Linked DNA regions of Kluyveromyces lactis. The protein of the gene in region 4 binds, or shares a complex with, the protein of the main gene of each other region. Links are inferred from orthologs where the notes say so. Each region holds a gene or a part of one and is shown on either strand. Other genes may lie near its edges. The genes, in order: RSM27, MRP51, MRPS8, RSM28, MRPS16, RSM19 and MRP10.

Region 1 (2,563 bases), on a different chromosome or scaffold from region 4:
CAGACTGAAGTACGAGAGGATATGGTTTTAACTGAATCTGTTAAAAGAACAACAATTGAAATGGCCTGCCATTTCTAGGGAACTAAAATAATAATAAAAAAGTACACGAACATCTCCTCTATCATATGGTAATATCTGCACTTCGAAAAGTGTATCCTGTCGCATGTTGCGGTTGGGAAAAAGCTCTCTCTTTACTAACAATATATTTTTAACTTTTGCGAACGAAACGTTTGCATGGTTATTTTTTAATTATTAACAGGTTCACCAAGAACCATACGTCTACAAGGCTAGACCAGATGGTGTCAACGTTATCAACGTTGGTAAGACCTGGGAAAAGATTGTTTTGGCTGCCAGAATCATTGCTGCCATTCCAAACCCAGAAGATGTTGTTGCTATCTCTTCCAGAACTTATGGTCAAAGAGCTGTCTTGAAGTACGCTGCTCACACCGGTGCTACTCCAATTGCTGGTAGATTTACCCCAGGTTCTTTCACTAACTACATCACCAGATCTTTCAAGGAACCAAGATTGGTTATCGTTACTGACCCAAGATCCGATGCTCAAGCTATCAAGGAATCTTCTTACGTTAACATCCCAGTCATCGCTTTGACCGATTTGGACTCCCCATCCGAATACGTTGATGTTGCTATCCCATGTAACAACAGAGGTAAGCACTCCATCGGTTTGATCTGGTACTTGTTGGCTAGAGAAGTCCTAAGATTGAGAGGTGCTCTACCAGACAGAACTCAACCATGGGCTATCATGCCAGATTTGTACTTCTACAGAAACCCAGAAGAAATCGAACAACAAACTGCTGAAGAAGAAGCTGTTGCTTCCGGTGAACAAACTGAAGAAGCCGTTGACGCTACTGAAGAACAAACCGAAGCTGCTGAATGGGCTGAAGAAGGTCAAGCTCAAGAAGAAGAATGGAACTAAACTTCAAGAATTCTTTAACTGAATTCCTGGAAGTTATTCCACCTTTTTTTTTGTTTAATTCATCATTCTATAATATAGATTCAATGCTTAGCATACTATCATTGTTATTATTATAGCTTCATGCAACAACTCTCAACCATCCGCTCATATTTTTAACTATTTTTACTAGTTTTTAAAACTCCACATCGTGTATAATTTTAATATCATTATTGATCCAGGCTAGTACCCGATAATTATACAAAGAATTGAATATTATTTAATTGATTGAACGTGCCAACTGAATATTTCCCCTTCAATGGTGCTTCAGTACCCAGTATGGCAATGTGACCCTTCTCGCATCTCTCATCGCTCTTATCCTCATCATGGTGATAATTTCCTGATAATGAAAATTTGAACATTGGAACATTCGAAAAAAAACTGAGCTTGCATAAAATAGAAACCTGCTGCAGAAGTAGTAAGTGAAAGTACCAATAAATAGGTCTTAGGTGTGCTTTAACTCTCAGCGAACTAGTTTGCGGGTTGTTCCATCAGTTATCACTCATATTTTCATATTTTGAGAAATGTCTGTACCCAAATCTAGGCTACTGAAGCTTGCTGAGATATCAGCCAAAGTTTTTGATCAAAATTTCAATCCAACAAATGCCAGAACTGGGTCTAAGATCCTAGCACAGAGGCTTAAAGGACCTGCTATTGCGAATTATTATGGTAACCCAGATTTTATCAGATTCAAGCAATTGAAGAAACTATATCCAGGCATGAACTTCGTTGATGAAGAAGAACAATATAGATTGACTATGCTTGAACTAAGAAAGCGTAGAGGTAAGGGTGCTCCAACTAAGAAGAGAGAGGCCTCTGGTGACGGTAAAAAGACCAAGAAGAGAAAGTGATCAAAATGAGCCCAGCCTATCCTTTTATCCCACTTAAAGGGACTTGCAATTAACATTTCCATCATATAAAAATACCTTGTATATAAATTATATCAGTCAGTTCAAATAGACCCAAGAATTTAACGAATTTCAACTATGTTTTTATTAAATACGAATATTCAAGTAAGATTCAAACTATGCAATCTGTGCCATTAATTGTGGTTGTGAGAGGGGTTTATATCGTATCTTGTTCCATTACCATCTTTAACTTTTTCCATAGTAAATCGATATCAATTGGATGTCTCGGTAGATTATGGTACAAAACACGATAGAGTTCATCTCTTCGTACATTAAGAACTGATCCCTGACTCACCATCTTCAAAGTCTCAACCGAGAACATCTGTCTTTGAATGGATTTCATGACGTTTGTGAATGGTTCAAAGGTCATGAAAAAGCTGATTGGATTATTCGATATTAATAAGTGATCATCATATACTTTGAACTTGATACCACCAGGTAACCTTTTAGCATCTTTTATCCGTAAAAGCAATGCAAATAAAGGGAAATGGTTGATAAGGGCCAAACTTAGTTCAAGCAACACTTTCACTGTAAGGTCAACAAATCTGAACACTGTGTATACCAAATAGAATGAAAATAACGTTGGCAACAAGAAGATTAACACCGTGAATATTAAAGTTCCCATCAATAGCTGATCTAATTCGAAGTACATATCATCAACTCTTCTACGTAACACATTTTGCTT
Region 2 (3,062 bases), on a different chromosome or scaffold from region 4:
GTCAATACAAGTTGTTGTACGAATTGCCATCATTTTTTGCGTTTCTTTGATGATTATTGGATTATTAGTGCCCTTTAATTCCCCATATTTGATGGGGTCTGGATCAGAACTGACCCATGCATCTCCATATGTGGTCGCATTAACAACCAATGGTGTTAGGATAATACCTCATATTGTTAATGCAATTATTCTATTGTCTATTATTTCTGTCGCAAACAATGCGATGTATAGTAGCTCAAGAACATTACATTCCTTAGCTGAACAAGGATTTGCGATGAAATATTTTTGTAAATTGGATGAAAGTGGTAAGCCGTTTAGATGTCTTTGCGTTTCAGCATTTACTGGTTTATTTTCATTCATAGCCGAATATAAGGACCAGGAAACAGTCTTCGTTTGGTTATTGTCAATCAGCGGTCTTTCCACTATCTTTACTTGGAGTATGACCTGTGTGTCTCATTTGAGATTCAGAAAGGCAATGAAAGATCAAGATCAAGCTTTAGACCAATTAGGATATCAATCACCATGTGGTGTATATGGCAGTTACATCTCGTTGTTTATTTGTGCCATTATTTTGATAGTACAATTTTGGGTATCATTGTTTCCTTTAGAATCCAACGGTAGGCTGAATGTCGTCTCATTCCTTCAAAATTATATGGCTGTTCCAATTACCATCGTACTTTACCTTGGTCATAAAGCTTACACAGGGAACTGGAAACCTTTTATTAGAGCACCTGAGATTGACATTCAGACCGATCGTGACATCTACTGTGTTGATGAGGTTACTGGAAAAAAATCAGTTTTTGTTGAGCTTCTGGATAGCGGAGACATGTGCTCGAAACTATCTGATAACCTTGTCAAGTAGTACAAACATTTCTACGAAACTGAGGTTCTCATACAGTATCGACTAAACCAAGGAACTGTTGATATGAAATTATTACGAAAAAATGAATAGTTTTCTGTAGTAAACAATATAATAAATAATGCAATTGAAAAAAAAATTTAAACTCAACACCGATTTCTGATTATGGGAAACCCCTCATAGAAGACTTATGTTATACTGGTGCTGATCTCGTTTTAAATATTAGCATCACTTAAGAAACCATTCTTCCTTTAAAATGAGTACTAAATGTGACACTTTCATCAATGGTCTGTCGCAAGTCCGGGTAAAATGTTACGTTTCTAATGATAAAAAAATTTCGATATCATTGAATAGCATTCAATTCGATAAATCTTAAACACAGCTCAGCTACTGATTTTGACTGAAGAGCTAAATTAGTTCCTATCGTCGACTATTGTGACAAGGTTCCAAAACTATCAGCAATTCGTTGAATAGATAATTCACTTTTTGGGTTTAAACTGGGCTGTTAGTCCTTAGCTTGAAGACAGATATACTTACTGAATTCACAATTCGAAATAGAAAGCTATGTCCCATATATCTAATTTGTTAAAAAATTCCAGGATAGCACAAGTGGCAAAGACGGACAAGCCATTGTTTCGTCCAGGTAACTCTTCTCATCCAACTCATCAAGTGATTGAGACCAAGCCATCCTCCTTATATCGTCAGGAATGGGGTTTGAAGGCAAGCATTCCATCGAAAATCAAGACCAGATATTTGGTTTACAACGATTTGGACACCCAACAAAGACTAACGACTTTTGAACCAATGGGTCAATACCAGTGGAACAGAATCAGATTCCAAGAAATGGGGTTAGCCCCTCGTTACGTTGAAGAAGAATCCAATCCTCTATTCAATGGGAAAACCAAGAGGGCCGGAAAATACGCGCCATTCAGCAATGCTGTGAACATTGCTCATAACACTGCGCCTTCTGAAAAGACAAGAAAGTTGAAAGAAATTGACCAACACAGATCAGAATTCAAGAAGTGGCTGTTAGAGAAACACCCGGATTCCATTGCTGGTGTTAGAAATGAAAACACCAGACCTTTGAAGGCTTTAGCTACTGAATTCTTACATGAAAAGATGGGAAAGTTGAATATTAATACAGCAGCTAACTCGGAGTGGCACATTGTGGGCACCGGTGGTCTAACTTACAACTTGAAAGGTAGACTTAGACAATCTCCAAATGGTGTAAAACAAAAGCACGTTGTGCCAGGCAGAGTTTTATCTGTCCAGGGACCTGATCGCGCAGTCGCTGTTGGTGGTTTCATCGCTGAAGCTAAATCTGTGGGCCGTAATCCTCGTGCTCTACAATACAACATGGGTGATTTTGTCAGACAAGAAGTTTTACCATTTGCCATTGAAGATCCAAAGGTAGAAGGGGGTAATGTAACATTGTCTGCATCTTTAGTAGAACCAAGAAATGACTTCAGTTTTGCTCAGAAGATCGGCTTAGGTCAAAGCAGATCACATTATACCAGATCCGATTCCAGAAACTCTTCAAGAAAAACTGTAAGATCTGTCACCGCCGAAGAATCTAGATCTCAAAGTGAAGAGTTCCTAAACTTATTAAAGACAACCATGTAAGTTGATATATGGTAGGTATTACACAACCATAGCTAGAAGTCACTTGTAAATAAAACGTAATAAATACAGTCATGTTACGCGGAAGACGGAGCTGTGCGTCAAGCGGTTAAGGGCCGTGCTCGTAACTTAAATGGAACAAAATGGATGAATATATATTTGATGTAAACTTAAAATGAATGTCGCGCATATGCAATGAGAGTCCACTCCTTTCTTGAAAAGGAATTTTACATTAGAACACCCTTAGTAGAAGGAACGTCGTTGGTTCCGTTGCTTGAAATAGCCTCTTTGATTGCAATGGCAAGTGCTTTGAATGCAGATTCACTTCTGTGATGGTCGTTAAAGCCTCTCAAACAATCAACGTGCAAAGTTATTCTCGCGGCTTCAGCAAAGGACTCCAAGAAATGAGGTATCATCTCGCATGAAAGGTCACCGATCTTTTCCCTCTTCAACCCCAACTCTATTACTGCGTATGGTCTATTGGATAGATCCACAACAGCACGTGATAAAGCTTCGTCTAATGGTGCATATCCTGAACCAAATCTTTTCACACCACGAACATGACCCAAAGCTTCCTTAAAGG
Region 3 (2,524 bases), on a different chromosome or scaffold from region 4:
TGCTGTCCGCTCAGCAGGAGCTATCTACGTCTAGACAAGAAGTAGAGCAGCTTAGAGCAACACAATCACCACAACTAACCCCTGTGGAATTCTCTTCCTTTGATAGACATTCTCCATCCAAATTCGAGCCATCGAGACAGATTCAGCATCCAACGACAGACCCTGTTATGTTAGCTAAGTGGAAGAACTGGAATGTCGATATGACAAATTGGAGATCAGTTGGTGTTGGCCCAGTTGTGGAATTTTAAGTAAGTTTCAGCCTTGTTACTATTACCACAGAGCTATGATTTTTTTATGATTTGTCTCATTTGTCTCGTTTAGGCAAATATAATGCTATAATGTACAAGTATACAATTATATTAGTGTATGTATAAAACTGATATTTGACACGATTGATGATTGTCGCTAAAAGGAAAATCGCACTGATTGAATGTTACTATATACATGGAATATGAGGTGGATTTCCTTTTGATGATATTGGAAGTTTCGATGGTCCATCACACATGTTGATGAAATATTCTGCACTTTGTTTTTGATTATATGACTAATGGTCTTTATTGCTGGGAATTTTACTGATGATTCACCTAATTCTGCATAGCACTTCACCACCGACTTTCTTGGCGATAGCATCATCGATATCCATAATTTCATTCCCAGATTTCACTAAAATTAATTCACCAGGAGCCAAAGGTTTGATCAATCTGACGGAGGTACCTGAACATAGTTTCTTCAAATCATGTGCATCTAGACTGATTCTCAAGTTTGGTTTTGATATCAATCTACAACTAGAAATAACTGGCTTGTTTTCCCTGTATTTTAAACCCAACCACAGTTTTCTAGTAGCGATATTATCTGGCGTTACGTCTACCGGTGTGACATCTGGGCCCTTAGTAGATCCTCGTTGTAAACTGGATAAGAAGCCATGCTTGTATAAGTTATAAGCGAAGTTCAAGTGTAACTTTGTATATGGGATTGAAGTCAAACCAATTCTTGCGCGGGAACAGTTTTGCAAGTGCGCGCAAACATTACCCAAATTCACTAATGACATTCTTGACAAAGTGTATCACAATTGTTATGGAAGCTTAATGAGGATCGTTTTTCCTTGATTGGAGAGGCCAACCCGGTAACAGTTTATCATTGAAGAGTTGTCCTTCATCTCATGTGTATAGCCCAAATTTTGGTGAACAGAAAATTTTTAGAATATCTACATATCCCACCCGTACATCACACCGTCAGTGTTTGGAAAGAAATAGCCAACGGTGTCTTTATCAGCCTAGAATGAAGCGAAAGCAGTGTTGGAAGTAAGCTGCTAGATGCAGTTTCATATAATCTTCTAACTGTACGCCTTCTCAAGCCAGGGTCCTATAATGGCAATCTCCTTACCTCTTCTCTTTTGTTTTGTACCTTATCACTTTTCTATCAAACCTGTGGAAATATTTCGTCAATGACATTTTAAGATCTTTCAATATAGCTTGCTGGAGAAGATCCGGAATGTTATGACATTTTAATTAGGATTGCTTCTTTGTTTCACTACGAGGCCTATAGCCAATCTCATCAGTAGCTATCTGCTGCACTATACAAAGATCAAGGCCGATATGTTCGTACGCGCTGCACCAAGATTATTGAAGTCTCCGGTCATGCGCCGGATGCTGTCTGGAAAAATGGATAAAGCTGAAGAACCACCAAGTTTTAAAACCATTTTACTTGTTGGTTTAGTTGGGACTGCTATTTTTGTTAAGGCAGTCGACTCTTTGGAACAGAACAAGCCTAAAAACACGTACACATTCTCTGAATTTGACACTGTGATGAGTGGTCTAAGAAGAAGAGTTTCGATCTTTGAGCAAGATGATTTAAATTTAAGATGTGTGCAAACCGGAGTTGCAACCAAGAAACTGAAATTCCCCGAAGATGCGAAGGTTATCAAACCTTCAGAAGCTATTGAATTCTTCAGAAATAAGTCTGACGATAAATATTATGTGCTTTTAAATGATTTATATGAAAAGGAGGGGAAATCGTACATGGAAAAACTACCAACAGGTCTCTCTGTCGTCTTGATAGGTAAATATATGAAGGAGAAATGTCAAAAGGGTGACACTGTTTATCTACTTGACTTCCCAGACAATATAAAAGATGCGATCAAGTTCGAAAATGAGGTTTCCGTTATCGACAAAGTTATTGTACCAAATTCAGAAGGAGACGGCCAGGTTTCCAAATACTTTAAAACCGTGGATAAAGTTGAGACCATCTAAAATGACCCCTCATGCCATTTTCCCCATCGGCACCCTTTTGCATATATCTGGGGACTTCCTATAACAATCCATCCAACTTTATCTCGATTAAACTTTGTAAATATCATCAGTATCTAATTGCCATTCAGCAGAAGTACGTTGTGAATAGTGGGATGTAGATATGCTTCGAATAAAAACGTCAATATTTATGTTATTTCTTGGAACTTCCGAATTCTGTGAAACCCATTAACCTGCCGATTTCAGACTGTGGTTGATATTTGATTTCTGCATCAGAT
Region 4 (3,260 bases):
AAGCTAATAGAAAGTTCCAATTTACCAATTACGGAGTACATTACCAACATGACATATAACAAGTCTCCTTTCAAAGAGTATTTGAAAAATAAGCTGGGTGAGAAAAAGGAATATGAGGGTTGCTTCGATGTAGGGACCAAGCTTCTGAAAATAGAAAAGGCTTTAAATATAAAAGAAGGTTCTATTATTGATGATATCGATGCTTCTTTCGTTCTACGAATCATGATCACAGATATCAGTGTATTAAAGGAAAAGATCGGGTTCGAAAAACTACTTGATATATATTTATCACGGAATGATTTTGCTACGGTGGAGTCCTTGTTACAAGCCAACGATAAGGTAGTGCTGAAAGTTATCGATCACTATCTAAGTCTCAACAATACTAGGGTCATTAGTCAATTCCTTAACAAGAATACGTGTTGTATAAACGACTCTGGGCTACTTATAGAAATTTTGGAAAAAATACCCCCAACCATTCAAATATCAGTGTTATCGGGTTTCCTATTTCCGTTACTCAGACGAAAAGACGAATCAACATATAATCTACAGATTAAGAAAGGAATTTTAAGGCATCGTACTCAGAATATAAACAATATCGAACGTTGTTTAGAACTGTGAAATAGTGTGATATATCATTAAGTGCATTGTGAAAATATATACATGAAAAATAGAGGTTAATCTTGTCTATAGGCGATCTGGCTTGTAATCAAGCTGTCAATTCAGAGACTGGTGCCAAACCGGAACAGACTTTTTGCAAAAGTTCTTTTTCAGTTGAAGCCAAGTTGCTTTGTTCTAAACTCTTTCTCACAATTTCGCTATTTTGCAGAAGTTGCTCTCTTTTGTCTTCTGCTTTTGTTAGTTTGGCAAAGTCCTTCTTTGTGTATGGCTTGAGAATGTGGAAACTACCCTTGACGGATTGCTCAAGTTTTTCTAGATCCGGAGAAATTTGGATGTTTTTTGTCAACGGTTCCACCTGCAATTTCAAAATGGAAGCTGGCACGTATTCACCAAAGTTGTCTTTGTTCGCTGTCATACGCTTACTGACGTTCTTTCCATTAATTGTGACACCATCATTCAATGAACGATGCACAGGGAAGTCGGCGTCTTTTAGTGTTGAAACTGCATATCTGAATGTCCTTGCACTGAAAGTTGGAGCCAGAGCAGGTCTGTATCTTAGCAACGATAACGGTGTTGGATCTTGTGGAACATATACAGCCGAGTTGTGAATATTTTGCACAACGTTTTCCGATCCCAAATTACTGGAAATTTTCAACCCTGGAACGGTTTTACGAGTTTTCCTTTCATCGCTTCTACGATTCTGTCTGGTACCCAAATTTTGAACTTTGCCTGAAATCTCACTATACTCATTAGTACCGGTAATCTTTGGTGTCTGTCTTTTAGCCGTACCTGTTTGTACTACCGGGCCATTGGTTCCTCTAGTATCCGTTCTTTGTGTTCTTTCTCTAAAATTTTTACCACCACGGTCTTGACCATTACGGACTTGTCTATTATCCCTGGGTTTATTTCCTCCGGATCTGTCATCAAATCTTGCTGTTTGTCTCTTATCTTCCCTCCCAGCTGACCTCACCTTTCTGTCAGATCTTGGTTTACGTGGTTCTCTTGCCTTGATAGGAACTTCCTTCACTCTTTGCAAAACTGATGCTAAAAAGTCCGGAGAGACAGAGCTATAAGCCCTTTTAGAGAATGTAGAAGCTAGCATTATTAAGTAAATATATTAATGCTAGTCACACACTTAAACAGATCACAACTTGATATAGCGTTACCTGGTTTATTACAACCCTATACCTAAATATCTCCGTGATACCATAAGAACTAATCAAGTTCATCATACTGAAACGAGTTTCGCACTCTCATAGGTTTTATGAAAGATCAAAAATTTTCAAGGCGTTCAAAATGATAAAAACACACGTGATCTAAATTTCTTATGATGACAGAAGGAATACAACATTCGGTGGGTTCTGACGTTTTGATATGAACTTAATACAACGGCGAGTACATACAGCGATATGCCTCGTCTAAAAATTGATGTTGTCAGTGGAAAGTCTAAAACAAGTCAATTAATTATTAAGAGGTGATATATATATGTATAGATAAAGCGATCAAGTCGTTTCAGATAATCTCGATTGGAACTTTCATCTCTGTAGCCAACTTTTTTAGCTGTTGAAGTTGTTCACTAGATGCTGCAGATCTGCCTTTCCGTACTTGGATGAAATCAATAAATTTCAACGGTATGTCCTGAGAAGTTAGGTAAACATTATTTAATGATTTCACAAGGTTGAGGCTGTCTAGCATTTCCTGGATCCTTTTGATATGGATGTAAACGTTACTAGAACTTCTCATTCCACTGATGACATCCGTATCTTTTCCAGTAATGCCGGGAGACAAATGAACATGGTTCCGTGACATTTTTTTGATGAAACCTGAGTGAAGAATTGAAATGCAGTTTGATACGTTGGTGCCATGAACCAATTTACTTGATAGTTGTTCTATGTTGGTAATTGGTTTTAAAACGTGTTGCGATGGAGCAATTTGCTTCAATGTATGTCCTTGTGTTGCACAGACGTACATTATCCCTGTATTCGGATCAGTTTTGATATGAAATCGTTGCTTGTCATTACTAGCAACAATATGCTGTATTTCTGTTGACGTTGCTTTCAAGCTTTTGAGTCTGTTATGCTGCAGTATTCTATCCAATGCAATGTAACCATCAGAATCTATAGGCAAGTTTTCCTTCACAGCACCATGTCTCAGCAAATAAGCCAATGCTTTCGAAATTTTCACACTTCTGTCCTTAGGTTCCTGCGAATGCGAGGTGTTCATAATGGTTCAGTTAAATCGAGCTTAGCACTTTCTGTTTTCCCCAATAGCTTTGACCATGTCGTTCTCTATCGGTCATACATAACTAATGGAATGAAATATATATGACAACGAAAAAATAATTGGATGGAACCTAATATGAGTCAGATGACACACACGAACGTATATATAGATGTAAACTTAGGAATTACAATGTGCACTGTAGGCACCGTACGTAAACGCCTTGAAGTTGCATAGTAAAAATGATAAAATAGAGTTTGATTAAATAATAGAGACCGTTGACCAACATAATTCGTTATGTACATGATAAAGTTCCCATATTTGGTTCACGAAACCTGACGGGGAAGGAAAAGAAAAAGAAGATGTAAATTAATGATTGTGTATAAGCAAAATACTGTAACAGAATGCGCCATATCAGGGAC
Region 5 (2,369 bases), on a different chromosome or scaffold from region 4:
AATCATCTTTCCTAGCACAATCAACCGCAAGCGTAAATACTCTTTTGAACTCAACTTCAAATGCTACAAATACTGCTGCTGCTGGTCAACAGCCTGATGAACGAAACAATAGATTACCCACACATATAGAAAATGAATCCAATTTATAGTTGCACTGGAACACAATTTGACTCGATGTAACATCATGAGCACTAATCTCCAATACAAACCTGAACATTACACCAAACATACCTATTAAATACTTGAGAAGTTAGACATTCACTCACTCATTCACAAAAACATAACATAAACCATCTTTTTGTTCTTGTAATTTTGTTAATATTTATGAATTTTCGGAAATCACATAGTTTAACAGTCAGTATTCCTCGATGATACTTCCCTCATTCAGGGAAATATATGCTGATGACGATTATTATTATTGTGTAGAATTACCTGATAGCATCTTATATATGGTGATATGTAAATTTAATCACTTCAATTTTACCGCATGGGGCCAAGCTGTTAAGTGTATGTAACTACTACATTGGTTTATGACCGGAAAAAGTGCCCGAATTCCTCTTATCAATTTAAGCCTATATACATGAGTTCTTGACCGTAAGAAAGCCTTGGGAGATGGTGATTTATGCCCTGATTATTGATATACCGCTTTTAATACAGTAATCGGAACAGCTGGTCTATTCTTCAAAGACTTCTTTCCTAGGTTCAATAACAACCCTACTACTTGTGTAGGTCTTTCCCCAATTTTCATCCAGGATTCCAGCTTTTCTCAATAGTCTTGTTACCGTATCACTAGGTTGAGCACCAACACCGATCCAGTATTTAGCTCTTCCGAAGTCTAATTCCACATCTTTAGTAGGAACAACACCTTGTTTAACCTCTTTCTTCGTTAATGGTTTTGGGATTGGGTTGTATGTTCCTAATACTTCAATTGGTTTCCTATTCAACGCCTTATGTTTGTTGGTAACAACTATGTTGTATACTGGGGTATGTTTCCTTCCGAATCTAGCTAGTCTTATCCTCACCAAACCTTTCGTCATGATTATTGTATTTCACCAAACTTGGCGTTAAATTCTGGTTTAAGAGACTTGGTTTACTCGCTCTGGTCGTCTTGATACATAATATGTTTGTCCTGTTATTACGCTTTTAATGTTGATTGAATTTTTTTTTCTATCTTTCGAAGGATTTTCAACACCAACTAAATAAAGCATGTCTATCACGTGATATAGGTGGGATATCTAACAGCCGTATGAGCAACATTCGTCTTAGGCGTTTATGGCGACATTACAGCCTAATAGTATAGGAAGTTGATCTATGAGAAAGTATCTATAAGTGAGAAAGTGTTTATTTACTGGAGTTAGACTGACGGTGGGAATTAGTTTACCAAAAATGCAGTCATATAAAACGACTTGGCATTACAAATAACATCGCATTCAGTAAAGAAAGTTAACGACACAAATAATGAAATAGTATGTTCTTGAACCCGTTTAGCAGACGCATATATACAGAGTTGGCATATATTAACCAAAATTTATTTACTTTTTATTCTCTGCTTTCTTCATTGCCTCACGATCCTTGCTGCTTCATCACTAAGGGCTTAAAAAGAAATTTTTCACAAGCTGTATAAAATTTTCAATCTAGCTCATCTCATCGCTCATCTCATCTAACAAGTAGAGACGAGTTATAATCAACAACACCTCAGAAAAGAGAATTACTGAGTTTAACTTGGGATTGAAAACTGACAAGCGAACAAATTGTGCAATATGGGTCCTGAACAAGCGTCCAAGCTTCTTGAACTTGAAGATAAGCTTGCTAAAATCAGAGGACAATCTACATCAAAACTAGAGAATCAGAAGCACATTGCCATAATCTTGGCTGCTATTGAAGAAAATATTAATGAGCAAGAGGCAATTAATAAGAACATCGTGAATTATCTTATTTCTTTGATGTCCTTGCTGGATCAAACTATCGATACAGAAACTGCGGCCATTAAAGATCTACAATTAGCAACATCAACGATGTATTTGTTGGACATCATTTTTCATTATACACCAAAGAAAATATTAAAGAGCAGGTTTGCTGATATTTTGATTAAAGTTGCCCCATGTATTACTGATGAAAAGGCTAACGCTCCTTTGATCAAATCCGCTCTTGGTTGTTTAGAAGCTTTGTTAATTGCCCAGGATACGCAAACGTGGAATAACACTCAAAATTTAAAGGTGACTCCAACAAGAGGTTTGGATGGTCTACTTGAGCTATCTCTAGATCCAAGACCAAAAGTAAGGAAGAGAGCACAGGATGCAATTACCAACATTCTAAAAAACCCTCCACCTGGTCCAACAGCAGAACACGTCGCATCACCTTTGATCTCA
Region 6 (2,423 bases), on a different chromosome or scaffold from region 4:
GTGGAGATACAAATTGTACAACTTTTCTGCATTCGTAGTCAAAGTAGCAGAAAAGACCATTTTGATTACGTTTCCTGGACGTTTATCCTGCTTATCGTTTGTCAAATGGTGGAAAAGCACTTGGTTCCAATTTTGGAATGACTGATTTAATAGTCGGTCTGCTTCATCAAGGACTAAGAACTTCAAAGTTTTTAGGTCAAATGATTCCATCTGCAAGTGATCGACCAGTCTGCCCGGAGTGATGATTAGAATGTCTGGAGAGTTATACAAAAATTTGTTGTGTTCTTCTTTCAAGGAGTTCTCGAGTTTCGACATTGATACATTGAGACTGGTCCCTTGACTTAGTTTAGAGAGACAATCGTAGACTTGATGAATTAAAATTTTAGTAGGAACCAAAATTATTGCCCTAACTTTATTCACTGTTCTAGATCTCAAAATTTGAACCAAAGGGACAGAATATGCTAAGGTCTTACCGGAACCAGTTGATGCGTTTACTAATATATCACCAACTCGTCTTGTGAAAAGTTTTCTGTTTGCTTTAAAAGATGAGTTTAGAAGCGGGAGCACTTTATCGAATAGAATGGTCTGAATAGGGAACGTTTCAGATGAGAAATTGGAGGTAATATTTTTAAGCAGACGTGCATCTAATTCACCTTCGTAGCTATCGAATTGTTTAACCATTTTACTATCGTAATGAATTTTGGTTGCTGCATCCCACGCAGTGGATTTATATGTAGACGGATCTAGAAGCTTCAAGGCTTCATTGGTCACTTTGGCCGGTTGAGGAATTGGGGTAAGACTGTGAACATCTTTCATGGATACGTCCTCATCGTGTACATCGTTGTCACTACTGACCTTGTCTGAAGCGCTCAACGCACCTTGCAGGGAAAGAGTCTGTTGAAATCTATTTAATACGGAACTGTGCTTTGCATCAACTGATTGCTGAGAAGTTTCTGTAGGCGCAACAGATGCAACCTTGTTTTCATCTTGCTCACTAATTGTATCGGAATCATCCTCACTGCTGGAAGCATCATCCTCACTGCTGGAAGCATCGTCCTCACCAGAGCCTTCATCATCAGTTTCCGCATCTCTTTTCCTCTTTTGGGGCACAGTGGGTTCTTTTATTTGTGTGACTTCAGCTGTTAGTACATTTTCAGTCACCTTAGTAGGATCAAACCTTGCAGCAAACATGTTATTGACTGGATGCTATCGTTATGCTGTCGCTATGCTGTTACTGACCTTCTAAATTCCTGAAGCTCATCGCATCATATTACATCTCATCGCCATTCGTCTATTATTTTATTTCAGAACGGAATTCATAAAAAATTTCAATCTGTAAAACTTGAAATAACGACAAGATATAATAGAGTTAAGTCACTACCATGATATCAGTCAGCCAAAGGTTCCAGCAGTTAGACAAATATCTCGCGTCTACGATAACACTCATAACGTCATAAAATGTTCCCGTCATTGAGATTACTATCACGTTCTGTATGGAAAGGTCCAAATATAGTCCCATTACCAATAAAAGAAGCATTGGCCAAAGGTACGCCCATTAGAACAAATGCCAGATCTGCCACCATATTACCTCAATTTGTCGGACTGAAATTCCAAGTGCATAATGGTAAGGAGTATGTCGCGTTTGAAGTGACAGAAGATATGGTAGGAAGTAAGCTAGGAGAATTCGTACCAACAAGAAAGAGATTCAGTTATACTCAAACTAAGAACAAATGATTTGACATTTATGAAAAGCACAAAGTTAGTCAGACAGCAGCATGTATATAAAATCACACCTGGAAGTTCATGTACCACCGTGTACTCCATACGTAACTGTATCTATTACTAAGAAATGATTTATTGAACAAGTGCTCTCGATTAATTGGGAGTTAATGGTGTTTCTCATTGTTAAATAGATGCAAATGTTAATCATAACGAGTACTATATATAATAATTGAAGTAAAATAGAATATACACTCTTTACTTGAGGTTTCTTTTGAATTTAATTTATGATTAAGTTTGTGGACTTTTTTCAACCACTAGATCTTTCTCCACCGGATACACCACTTAGTAGCTTTTCCTCTCTAATCGCACCAGTGCGATCAATGACAGGCCAATTTCCCCAGTTCGGTAACCGCAGAATTACGCAAGTAGCATTATCAGAATGTTTAGAGCTAATAGCCATAACATATTGTAAAACTTCCTGAGCACAGAAGTGTGGAGAAGCAGTTTTCAAACCTCTATTGTTCACTGTGGAGGTGATGAGATCACAGAGTTCTTGATCGCTCATCAATTCAGTTACTCCGTCTGTCACTAAACATAAGAAACATTCATCACCACCGAACTGCAATTTTGATCTTTCAGCATGTGGTAACATTTTGGTTGGTCCAATGAGGTACGAATAAATGTCCGGCTCGCACGTTAGA
Region 7 (2,455 bases), on a different chromosome or scaffold from region 4:
GAGGTGAGAATTTGACTATAGCTGCTGCAGGTGTCCTACAAACCACTATCGAAGAAGGTGCATACATCGACATCGAAGTTAGATTAGGTTACATCAAGTTAATCTCACAAACCTACGATTTGTGTGAACAATTGGAGGAGAACGACATCGACGGATTGAAATGTCCAATCGAGGAAGGTGTCTACGAGTTGAACAAGATCGTGGAGATCCCTAGCGAGGTGCCACCTGGCAAATACTCTGTCATTGCTAGAGCTTACAACGTCGACGATGAACAGATCACGTGCCTAACTGGTGAAGTAATCTTCCCAGCGTACTAGACACACCTGTCACAAAGGCTACCTGTCTCTCACTGACCTTACCCAGTGTGAGCCAAGTATAAGGTCTCCTCCTATAGCGACGTTGCAAAGCTGTGGAGTTCTAGGTCCATGTACACGTGACCGAACCGATTACGGCACCTTTTTACCCGTCTTGCTATATATAATATTAATTGAATCACAATTTGAATTGGTTGATCTCTCTCCTCCGTTACCCCAGGTTAGGAAGAGGTCCTAATTTGTATTACATATATCTAGTATACCCTCCTCTATACTATCCCTACCTGTCCAGTCAACAAACGACCACTGTCATCTAATAATGCTAAGAACTGTCTTCAACAAACCATCAGTGTTGAAATCTGGAGTTAACTCGATTACAAAGCAATGCCGTTCTCTTCACGCAAATGCTTACTTGTTGAACAAGGGCAACAGCAACGGTGCTGAGGGCCAAGATGACGATGTCACGGTGAGAATCAGAATCCCACCTATCAAGAGAACCGGCGAGTCTCTAGACAAGAAGCGTGCTAGATTAATTTATCAGTCCAGAAAGAGAGGTATTCTGGAAACAGACTTACTTTTGTCACGTTTTGCTGCTAAGTATTTAAAGGAAATGACCCCAGAACAACTAGAAGAGTACGACCAGTTGTTGAACGAACTAGATTGGGATATCTACTACTGGGCCACAGAAAACTATTCCATTACACCTCTTCCTGACAGATGGAAGAACTCCAATATTCTAAAACAATTGCAAGAGTTCAGTAAGAACAAGGATCGTGAAATCCTAAGCATGCCTGATCTTTCCAAATACTGAACATCAGCGGTATACGTACTTGCCAATTAAGCAACAGTATAGTCTATAGCTCTTATTTTATACCCATATGCTCTCTCTCCCTCTGTCGCGGCAGCTCATCATTTCCAGGGCAGGCCCAAGTGAAAAATTTAACCCGTACACCGCATACTTAGATCCAACATTGGCGAAAGTCTCAAAAATTTTGTTAAGATCATAAAGAATGATATCGTTTATATGATGGAAAATATCATAAATGTAGTCGCGTAGTCCGTTCTAGAGGTCTTGTAAGGTCGTGTTGCGAAGGGTACGTCCAAGATATCAAGTGTTCATATATTAAAGCATGTCCAGTAAGACTCCTCTTTATAAATTACCACCTCTTCCCAGACTTAAGGTGAAAAAGCCAATTATTCAACAAGAGGCTAACAGATGCTTGGTATTGATGTCCAATCTATTACAATGCTGGTCTTCTAACGGACACATGTACGGTGCATGTGAGACATTGGCCCAAGATTTGAAGGCATGTACCGCGGAAAATGCCTTAGGTAAGAACCAAAAAGTCCAGAAGAGTAATATCAACTATCATGCTGCTAGATTGTACGATAGAGTTGGTGGAAAATCTCATGATTAGAAAGAAGCAGACAGACTTTCTCCCCCTTCGTTATCACTTGTACATAATACCATTTTCTAATATTACATATATCATCTAAAATCAAGGAATTCACGATTTATTAAATATGATAGAGATTTTTGTAGCTATTTGTGAGTGGATTCATCTCAAACTTTTCTGGCGAGTCTGCCAGCTCTTTCCCACTCGTCTTTCGTTAGATACCATCCCGGATGGAACTCAGATGAATCATGCTGTTTGATGGTATTAAGGTCATTCTCGTTAATTTCGTTACAATGCATGTTAGAATCTCCTCTGTAATTGTTTTCAATTTCCCATTGGAAATCGCTATGTTCAGTCTCGGCCTTTGTCATGGAGCCTATAGGTTCTGGTATCCGTAGGTATGGATTTCTCAATGTGTTGTTTACACTGCCCAATGAAGTGAATCCCATCTCATATAATCCGCATACTTCTTCTCCCGAATACAATAGGAAACTCCATATCTGTGAGAGATTCCAATGTAGCAACGGTTGCAACCTGTAGAACTGGGGCCAACTGGGGTCCGTCTTTTGAATTGGTTGCAACGTCTCCCCAAATGGATCTGTGTGTCTAATGCCGATTACTATTGCCTGAGTCTCTGGATGTACCGATAAGAACGACTTGAAGGCACTTGGCATATCGACCTGTTTATCCTTCGCTGATTCGTATAACGATAAGTGATATCGCTCCACGCTCCGTTGTAAGAAA

What was found.
Region 1: RSM28 (region 4) and RSM27 share a complex: the UniProt entries of both Saccharomyces cerevisiae proteins name them as parts of the mitochondrial small ribosomal subunit. The link is inferred for Kluyveromyces lactis from reciprocal best matches to the Saccharomyces cerevisiae genes RSM28 and RSM27.
Region 2: RSM28 (region 4) and MRP51 share a complex: the UniProt entries of both Saccharomyces cerevisiae proteins name them as parts of the mitochondrial small ribosomal subunit. The link is inferred for Kluyveromyces lactis from reciprocal best matches to the Saccharomyces cerevisiae genes RSM28 and MRP51.
Region 3: RSM28 (region 4) and MRPS8 share a complex: the UniProt entries of both Saccharomyces cerevisiae proteins name them as parts of the mitochondrial small ribosomal subunit. The link is inferred for Kluyveromyces lactis from reciprocal best matches to the Saccharomyces cerevisiae genes RSM28 and MRPS8.
Region 5: RSM28 (region 4) and MRPS16 share a complex: the UniProt entries of both Saccharomyces cerevisiae proteins name them as parts of the mitochondrial small ribosomal subunit. The link is inferred for Kluyveromyces lactis from reciprocal best matches to the Saccharomyces cerevisiae genes RSM28 and MRPS16.
Region 6: RSM28 (region 4) and RSM19 share a complex: the UniProt entries of both Saccharomyces cerevisiae proteins name them as parts of the mitochondrial small ribosomal subunit. The link is inferred for Kluyveromyces lactis from reciprocal best matches to the Saccharomyces cerevisiae genes RSM28 and RSM19.
Region 7: RSM28 (region 4) and MRP10 share a complex: the UniProt entries of both Saccharomyces cerevisiae proteins name them as parts of the mitochondrial small ribosomal subunit. The link is inferred for Kluyveromyces lactis from reciprocal best matches to the Saccharomyces cerevisiae genes RSM28 and MRP10.

What each region holds. Positions count from the first base shown.
Region 1 is NC_006041.1:1,440,155-1,442,717, reverse strand, and holds RSM27 (mitochondrial 37S ribosomal protein mS33), read left to right. Parts: upstream 1-1,494; coding exon 1,495-1,821; downstream 1,822-2,563. Other genes in the region: RPS0A (40S ribosomal protein uS2), read left to right, coding at 260-934; KLLA0_E16149g (uncharacterized protein), read right to left, coding at 1,168-1,332; GPI1 (phosphatidylinositol N-acetylglucosaminyltransferase), read right to left, coding at 2,036-2,563. UniProt on the Saccharomyces cerevisiae protein: Component of the mitochondrial ribosome (mitoribosome), a dedicated translation machinery responsible for the synthesis of mitochondrial genome-encoded proteins, including at least some of the essential transmembrane subunits of the mitochondrial respiratory chain.
Region 2 is NC_006042.1:88,572-91,633, reverse strand, and holds MRP51 (mitochondrial 37S ribosomal protein bS1m), read left to right. Parts: upstream 1-1,423; coding exon 1,424-2,482; downstream 2,483-3,062. Other genes in the region: KLLA0_F01012g (uncharacterized protein), read left to right, coding at 1-862; imidazoleglycerol-phosphate dehydratase HIS3, read right to left, coding at 2,707-3,062. UniProt on the Saccharomyces cerevisiae protein: Component of the mitochondrial ribosome (mitoribosome), a dedicated translation machinery responsible for the synthesis of mitochondrial genome-encoded proteins, including at least some of the essential transmembrane subunits of the mitochondrial respiratory chain.
Region 3 is NC_006041.1:140,981-143,504, reverse strand, and holds MRPS8 (mitochondrial 37S ribosomal protein uS8m), read right to left. Parts: upstream 1,049-2,524; coding exon 581-1,048; downstream 1-580. Other genes in the region: BUG1 (Bug1p), read left to right, coding at 1-248; AIM36 (Aim36p), read left to right, coding at 1,596-2,249; U4/U6-U5 snRNP complex subunit SNU23, read right to left, coding at 2,440-2,524. UniProt on the Saccharomyces cerevisiae protein: Component of the mitochondrial ribosome (mitoribosome), a dedicated translation machinery responsible for the synthesis of mitochondrial genome-encoded proteins, including at least some of the essential transmembrane subunits of the mitochondrial respiratory chain.
Region 4 is NC_006039.1:1,053,313-1,056,572, forward strand, and holds RSM28 (mitochondrial 37S ribosomal protein mS46 RSM28), read right to left. Parts: upstream 1,721-3,260; coding exon 707-1,720; downstream 1-706. Other genes in the region: CORVET complex subunit VPS3, read left to right, coding at 1-618; TPT1 (tRNA 2'-phosphotransferase), read right to left, coding at 2,131-2,841. UniProt on the Saccharomyces cerevisiae protein: Component of the mitochondrial ribosome (mitoribosome), a dedicated translation machinery responsible for the synthesis of mitochondrial genome-encoded proteins, including at least some of the essential transmembrane subunits of the mitochondrial respiratory chain.
Region 5 is NC_006042.1:2,519,022-2,521,390, forward strand, and holds MRPS16 (mitochondrial 37S ribosomal protein bS16m), read right to left. Parts: upstream 1,038-2,369; coding exon 675-1,037; downstream 1-674. Other genes in the region: CIP1 (Cip1p), read left to right, coding at 1-149; mRNA-binding protein RRP12, read left to right, coding at 1,761-2,369. UniProt on the Saccharomyces cerevisiae protein: Component of the mitochondrial ribosome (mitoribosome), a dedicated translation machinery responsible for the synthesis of mitochondrial genome-encoded proteins, including at least some of the essential transmembrane subunits of the mitochondrial respiratory chain.
Region 6 is NC_006042.1:666,672-669,094, forward strand, and holds RSM19 (mitochondrial 37S ribosomal protein uS19m), read left to right. Parts: upstream 1-1,458; coding exon 1,459-1,734; downstream 1,735-2,423. Other genes in the region: putative ATP-dependent RNA helicase DBP6, read right to left, coding at 1-1,191; type 2C protein phosphatase PTC6, read right to left, coding at 2,030-2,423. UniProt on the Saccharomyces cerevisiae protein: Component of the mitochondrial ribosome (mitoribosome), a dedicated translation machinery responsible for the synthesis of mitochondrial genome-encoded proteins, including at least some of the essential transmembrane subunits of the mitochondrial respiratory chain.
Region 7 is NC_006041.1:1,178,006-1,180,460, forward strand, and holds MRP10 (mitochondrial 37S ribosomal protein mS37), read left to right. Parts: upstream 1-1,444; coding exon 1,445-1,732; downstream 1,733-2,455. Other genes in the region: NPC2 (sterol transporter), read left to right, coding at 1-317; succinate dehydrogenase assembly factor SDH5, read left to right, coding at 634-1,125; FAD1 (FMN adenylyltransferase), read right to left, coding at 1,879-2,455. UniProt on the Saccharomyces cerevisiae protein: Component of the mitochondrial ribosome (mitoribosome), a dedicated translation machinery responsible for the synthesis of mitochondrial genome-encoded proteins, including at least some of the essential transmembrane subunits of the mitochondrial respiratory chain.